Linked DNA regions of Stegostoma tigrinum. The protein of the gene in region 1 purifies or fractionates together with the protein of each later gene. This does not show direct contact. Links are inferred from orthologs where the notes say so. Each region holds a gene or a part of one and is shown on either strand. Other genes may lie near its edges.

Region 1 (3,926 bases):
ACTTAAAGATGTCAGTCGAGGAAAATTAAGAATTTTCTTCATTTGTCAAAACAGAAGCCCCTACCAAGATAATTCTTTTGGGTCTGAGTTTTGAGCCAAGGATCCGTAATAAGAACAGGTGTAAGAAATCTGTCAGCACAGCTGAATGCTCATGGCGTAGGTTGGTTGGATGAGAGGATAATGAGGAATGGATGGGCTTAAGACATGAGTGCATTACATCTTTTATAACACTACTGAGATAAAGAAATGAGGTAGGCTTTCTGAAAAAAAAACAGCCTGCCATCATGGCCAGCAAGCTTCTTAGGTCAGTAGGTACTGGTCTATCTCATCTTTCCAGATACCCCACCAGAGTATTGATCGTGAGATTTAAGCTCCTTTCTAATGAGACAAATCAGTTAATTCGGAAATCCCCCAATTCAGCTACCCATTTTAGCAGAGAAAATTTAGTCCTAAAATGTCAATTTATTTAAGTATGGCTAGGATTTTTTTGCTTCTTAGACAATCCTTTAACCAAGGCCCCATCTGCACCATCAAAGGAATTTTTAAAAAATCATATGGTACATCAAGGATGTGGAAAGTTTTATGGGGAGGAGCAGGTAGATAGAGTTGAAGCCTCAATAAGATCAATCATGGTCTCCTGAATAGCAGGAAAGAACTAATTGGCTAAATGGCCTACTGTGTTCCTGCTTTTTTTTGTACATACACAAGTGCTATCACATGCAACTTTCCCATCACCAAAATCACTGATTTTTTTTTCCCCTTTTTTAACCACCACCAGTAAATCATTTGGGTAGCCAATTAAATATTTAAATATAAAGCCTATGAAGGGCAATGCAAAACATCAAAAGTGAACAGGGGGTTACGGTGAGAGGGAAGAAGCCAAAAAAAGTCAATGGATTTGTGCATATGTTTGTCATGATCACTATTAGAATCAGTGCGTGTAAGGTGACCTAGCTCATATTTGTCCTTCAACCAATATCTCCAATTATCTGGTTATCTACTTTTCTGCTGTTTGTGGGGTCTAGCCTGTGCAAATTGTCTGATGCTAATAACTGCGTGTCAGATATGTTTTGCGCAAAATACTACTGGTGCAATAAATCTGAAACAAACATAGAAAATGCCAGAGGCATCGTCTGAATTCTGAAGACTTATGCTGGACTCGAAACATTAACTTTTGCTTCTAGCTGCACACATGCTGCCAGGCTTGCTGAGTTTCTCCAGCATTTTCGGTGATCATTCAAAACGTATTTTTGGCTGTAGGGTACAAGATCCTGCAAGAGACCGTAATAAAGCGTTTTCTTTTTCTTAAGCATTCCCAACTTAAGGTCAGAACGGCATGGAACAATCAAATGTATTGGGTTTTTTTTCTATGGATTACTAGAACATTTCTGACACTGCTCTGAACCTCCCGATTTTAAACCAGGACTTGAAGCACCCAGGTCATTCATGGCTTACAGATTTTATTTTGAAAAAGAGTACGAGACAAGGGATCAGTTGTATTTTTCGTGACTGCAGCGGGGAGTTTACCACAATGCCCGCCAACCTCGCACAAAACTATCTTTCAAGATAAATGCAAAAAATATTTTCCGATACAAAATTATCAAGCCAGGTTGTCGAAACCCGCGGTGTTTTCACAACATTTAACCCCTTATTCACAACATGCGGAAACAAATTTTTCTGTCCGATTTTCCGTGCGTGCGTGTGGGATGGGAGTTCGTTCGTGAGTAGGGAGCCGGGTCTTGGTTAGAGTCTTCCCCCCGACATGGGAAACCGAGCCGGAGAAAGATATGAGACAAGTGCAGAGCTGGAAGAACACAGCAGGCCAAGCAGCATCAGAAGAGCAGGATGGCTGAAGTTTCTGGCCTAGACCCTTCTTCAGAAAATTTATCTCTGAGAAAGATAATATTCCTCCAGATGTAGACGGGCTGCCGGGGCGGAGAACCGTACCACGATGCAGACGGGTGCGCGCAAGGGTTGATCGGTCCTTCCTCTTCGCCTTTGGAGGTTTTTTTCCGGTGGGTTACCTCCCGGAATTGTGCCTGATTGAATGCGGTTACTTTGTTGTCGGTCGCAGTACAGTACGTGATTGGGCATTGAGCTGGAGAGAGGCAGAATGTAGCGGCTTCTCCCCAGGTAACGGGTGGTTTCTCCCAGATGTCTGCCCGAAACAGAAAGTCAGACTCGGCGACATTGTTGCCACATCACTGCCGGGTTGGATAATTACAAAGCAGCAGTTTCCCGTCCCCCCTGACATCGCATCCGGGAAAGCCACCTAACGGGACGTGATTTAATTAATTTTACGCAGAATCTCTCTCTTTCAGTCTGCTCCCGTTAATCGGCCTCTGGTGCCTTTGTTTGATATTCAATGCGCAGTGCCTTCAGCCTCCGATATGAAACTACTCGCTCTCCACCACCACTGACTGAGAGCAGCGAAGATGACGACGGGCTGGTGACTGGTGATTTTTTTTTTTCTTTCTCTCTCTGGCCGAATTAATATCATACCTTGGGTAGTCAGCGTGCCCAGCGAGATGCAGATGTTTCTCAAACGACTCGAGAATAAAACGGGCTGGTATTCATTCGGCGACACGATGCAATGAACTCTTACTGGCATTGCTCGTGAACAGATACCCTTGGCCGAAATTTCTCGGAGAAAGATACTGTTTCTCTGAAACGTAGGAACCGCCGCCCACTTCTTCATTCACCTGTAATTGCGTTAAATTTAACCAGGATTGCCTTTAAACTGGAGACAAAGAAAATGAGGGAACACTCAATTATATAGGATACCGATTTTGAATTAATAATTTATTGCAGGGTATTTATGCTTATGGAACATCATTTGTAAAAGCGTTAATATAATACCGAGATTGGAAGTGACGCCGCCGACCTACGCCCTGAAATGCCTCCAGATAACGCCTGTCATTTTTTTTAAAAACCCTGAATAACTTACAGCCCAACATTAATGTGGGATGCAACGGCAGTGCACAGGAGCCTGTGTACATTTGGTGGCTTGCTTACAAGCACGGATTTTGATTGGCTTCCTGCTGGCCCGGTTGTTTGAAGCTTTGCTGCTGAAACTTTACCTATTTATCGATACAAACCAGCTAGCTTTTTAATTATTCTCCAGAACCCAAGGTCAAAGCCCACGTGAACTAAGTTTGTGACATTTCTCTTCATATTTAAACACATTGGCTGGTTGTTTTTTGTGTGTGTTTATTTTAGCTACTTCAGTGTTCAGTCAACTACATGCTGGAGAATGAAGGAGGTTTGTAGGATCTGTGCCCGGGAACTGTGTGGTAACCAACGACGATGGATCTTTCACACAGCTTCCAGACTAAACCTACAGGTTATCCTATCTCACGTACTGGAAAAAGAGGTATCTCGAGATGGCAAGGCAGAGTTTGCTTGCAGCAAATGTGCATTTATGTTAGACCGTATCTACAAATTTGATACAGTTATTGCAAGGATTGAGGCACTGTCCATTGAGCGTTTGCAGAAGTTACTCGTAGAGAAAGATCGTATCAAGTACTGCATAGCTAGTCTATATCGTAAAAATAATGAGGAGCCAAGTACTGACACCAAGGGGGAGGATGTTGCAGTGGGGAGCTCCAACCTACCTGATGTTCGGTATCATGCACTGCTACAGGATGACTTTGTATATTCTGGATTTGAATCATGGACAGAGCAAGGTGAGGAAGCCATGGAAACTCACAGTTGCCAGACTTCAGACACCTCAAGCTACAAATCCCGGAAGTGTCGCAGCTGTTCAGCCTTGCGTGTGACTGATGCAGATTATGAGGCAGTTTGCAGACTACCTCGCAAGTTGGCGAAGACTGTTTCTTCTGATCATTCCATTAAGTGTGGAAGTAGTGTGGTGGGCAGCACAACTGCTGAGGAAGGACTTGCAATGCCAGTCATATGTGAAACGG
Region 2 (3,926 bases), on another chromosome or scaffold:
ACTCTCATCACCACTGAAATAACTCCACAGAGGTTGGTATCTGTCACCAAGCCACTCTTTATTCACACGTATTCTAGCTCCCTTAGAGCCTGCTCTCAGAGTGAGCAGGATGTCTGATACTCCTGCTTTTATCTTCCAGCCACTGGTCCCTGATTGAACCAGGTTAACAGCCCAAATCAGGAAATTCATATTTTGTGAGGTCCACCTGGTTTACCTCATTACAATCCTATCGTTATAAGTTTGGGTTGTTGAAGAGTGGGTTTGTCAAAAGGGAGTGGTCCCTCTGGAAGATAGAGGGAGATGAAAAGACTTTCCTGATGATGTCGTCATGCACAAATATCCAAGCAGGATCTTTTAGGGACAGAGACTGATGGTTAAAAATGGTAGATGATGGATCTCGAAGAGAAACTGTGTCATTGTTGAAGATCAGAGGCAAGGGATAATCCTTTTATTGGTATCTTGAAGGCAGTAATAACATAGAGTCGCAGTGGAAATGCAATTGTATGCGTGTGTGTGGTGTAAGAGTGGGAGGCAAAGATCTGAAGAAGATATAAATTTGTAACAATCGGTGAAATAATGGGTTTAAGTTGAACAATAGGTCTATACCTGAAGGGTTTTTGAAAGAGGATGCAAATATTTAGTTACATCCTAAGAAAATATCCTTGTATCATATAACAAAGACATTTTACATCAGAAGATTTGGGATTAGTTTAAGGATTGTAACTGAGAGAACTAAGCACTAACAGTGCAGAGGGAGATGGATTAGAGAAAGCAAGATGACTGGTACTTTTTTGAGCCATAAGATTGCAATTTTCCAATTAACACATCTGGATTCCCATCAACATGATGCAATATGGGAATCGAAAGGGTCATTTCCTGTTTGTCAAATGCTAAATTATAGTTCTCGCTGTTGGATCCTGATTGGATACTTTAAAGTTTCAACGAGCTGAAGTCATGCAGCTGCTGATTGGAAAGTATGATTTATTCCAGTGTGTGGGAAGGACAATTGAGCTGTGTGTGTGCCAACCAACTGCATGGAAAATTCTAGTGCCTGAATTTGGTATATCATCTGTTGTATTTTGTTATTATTCTAATGAGCACCAGAATGCCGTGCTAATCATCCTGAAATGTCAACAATGGCAGTGCAAGTTATACTGCAATCACAGTAATTACATGACAGATGTCGTACATGATTTCTGAAGAATTCTATGTGTCAAGTTTACTGGGTTTTATATTTATTCTATTCCTTGGTAAATGCCAAGTAACTTTTCAGGACATCACATCTTAGTGCTAAAATAAGTCTCATGCCATTGGAATGTTTCCTGAATGGGGTGAGTAGGTTCTGTGTTAATACTGACAAAGTGTATGAAACTGTCTTAATTGCTATCTTTCTTTGTAGTGAACCAAACAATGGTATGTGCGAGGCCTCAGAAAGGGGGTCTCTAAGGGGGTTAGGGATATGATACCCTGAAAACATTGAACAAATGAGAGACTGTAGCAAATGTCCTTCTGTATTTCAAGCAGATCCTTAATGAGTTCCCCCTGGGGAAGGGGGACTGTGGAAGAAAGTATGTGGGGCACTCTGGTTGGGTTTATATATGTTATTGGAACAGAAATCTTACTTGGAGTAAGGGCTCAAAGCTATTTTTAAACACTTATTCCATTTAACTCAATGTTATATGCAAAATTTAAATGGACATAAATTGTGAAGATCCGAACAAAATATTCACAAGTTGTTTCTAGGCTGTTTAATACAGGATTTCGATAGTGCTATGTTTCAGAATTGTTCAATTATACCAACATTAGGAAAGCATACATTTCTGATTGATTTTGTTCATTGAATGCTAGGTAAGCTTAACTGAAGGGCATATAAGGAAGTAATGGTAAATAGGCAAGACACAATATACTTTGACAAAGCCTATAACTTTTACACTCATGTCCTGTGTCTAGGAATCTGAATTTTGGATAAAATATCCAATGAACAGAAAAAGAATGCATCCTGATTTTTGTTTTTGGGGCATGAGTGTGAGGCCTACAAGTCAAGGAAACTCAAGCAGTCAGCATGAGTCTCAGAACTTTTATAACGTCATCACAAATTTAACATCGGGACAAATACCTCTGCAAAGAAGACTTGAGCCATTGTGCAGCTAAACTACCCTTTGTTATGCAACACAAGTGTCTCTTCATGTTTAGGATCTCTTCTGCTCTGTCTCACATGTCTGTTAACTTGTCTGGCCCTTAGACAAAGCACAGCAACAAGGATAGGGCTCTTGTGGTGCAGTGATAGTACACATATCTCTGAACCAGGAGTCCCAAATTTAAGTTCCAGCAATGTGTAACAACATCCTTGAACAAGATGATTGGGAAAATGTCTCGAAAAGAGGACTGCAGTCCCATGGAATCATTTATACCAACATTAGGAAAGCATATATTTTTCATTGTATTTGTTAATTAAGATTAAGTAGATTTGTGGATTTGCAGTCCAAGTAAGTTTTGTGACTTGGAGGAATCCGTGGGCCGTATATATTTAGATTGTAGTCGATTATAGAACCCTTTCTGTTTTTTTTAAAGAGCTGCTTCCAAGTTTTTGGTTTCAGTGGGAGTCTTCAGTGGGCAGAATCAAAGGGCCACATTTAGGTCTACATATTTGGTAAGATCAAAAGTGAGAATATAGAATTTTGCTTCTTTTAATTTAGGTAGTGGGATCACTAATTCAGTCCACTCTACTTGAAACTAGTTAAAATCATAATAATTGCTTCAATGAATAATGCTTTTAAATTGAAAATGTCCCAAGCCACTTCACAGTCATCTATGGAGAGAAAAAAATAAAGGTAACTTATCGAGTCAGTGACTCCATTCTGCTACAAGGTCAAAGAACTGAAATTCTGACTCCGTTTTTCTCAGTCCACAGATGCACAACACAAATCTTCAATTTGAGGCTTTAAGGACCAGAAGATGAAATAGGTCAGGACAGGAATGAATTAATTCTACATACAGTTGGATATTGGCAGGAAATTGGATGTGTTTAAGTGTTTGGTTAAAATAATAAATAAATATGTCTAGATATTTTTAATCAACACAATCCGACATGTTATTTATATTTATTCACGGGATGAGGGTGTTTCTGGCTAGGTTATTACTTATTACCCATCCTTAATTGCTCAGAGAGAGCAACTGGAAGTCTACCACATTGTTGATGGCCTGGAGTCATATGTGGACCATACCAGGTAAGTACAGCAGTTTCCTTCCGTAAAGGAACATTCGTGAACAAGTTGGGTTTTGTCCAGCAATGGTTTCATGTTCATTATTAGACTTTTAATTCCAGATTTTTATTCAATTCAAGCTCACTCCCTCCACTGTGGTAGGACTCAAGACTGCTCAGGACAATTTTGCATAAGCTCCTAATGGAGGCAGGCACCTGACTCATGATCACTTTAATTATCCCAAATTAGTTCATGATAATTGTACCTTTTGTTATTGTGCAATAAACAACACCTTGTTGAGCAACACAAGTGTCTCTTCATGTTAAGTATCTCTTCTGCTCTATCTGCACCTCTGTTAATTAGTTCGGCCCTTAGACTGAGCATAGCAACAAGGATACGGCTCTTGTGATGCAGTGATAGTACACATATCTGTGAGCCAAAAGGCCTAAATTTAAGTTCCAGTGATGTATGACAACATCCTTGAACTAGTTGAATGGGAAAATATCTTGAAAAGAGGACTGCAGTCCCACCTATTCATAGATTAAGTGGGTTTATGCATTTGCAGGCTACTTGTGATGTTTGAGACCTTGAGGAATCTGTGGGCCATATATATTTAGATTGCAATAGATTCTAGACACCTTCCTGTTTTCTAAGGAACTGCTTCCGAGTTTTTGTTTTCACAATGGCCCTACGTTCCTGTTCTTTGCAACCCTGGTTTGGGAG

What was found.
Region 2: the proteins of pde4dip (region 1) and cAMP-dependent protein kinase type II-beta regulatory subunit purify together in Homo sapiens (affinity purification with mass spectrometry; 4 studies listed by BioGRID and IntAct, counting the BioPlex papers as one, with this or other methods). This does not show direct contact. The link is inferred for Stegostoma tigrinum from reciprocal best matches to the Homo sapiens genes PDE4DIP and PRKAR2B.

What each region holds. Positions count from the first base shown.
Region 1 is NC_081361.1:47,559,852-47,563,777, forward strand, and holds the start of pde4dip (myomegalin), read left to right. Parts: upstream 1-1,686; 5' UTR 1,687-3,253; coding exon 3,254-3,926. UniProt on the Homo sapiens protein: Functions as an anchor sequestering components of the cAMP-dependent pathway to Golgi and/or centrosomes.
Region 2 is NC_081378.1:35,348,370-35,352,295, reverse strand, and holds the start of cAMP-dependent protein kinase type II-beta regulatory subunit, read left to right. Parts: upstream 1-1,153; 5' UTR 1,154-1,331; intron 1,332-3,926. UniProt on the Homo sapiens protein: Regulatory subunit of the cAMP-dependent protein kinases involved in cAMP signaling in cells. Type II regulatory chains mediate membrane association by binding to anchoring proteins, including the MAP2 kinase.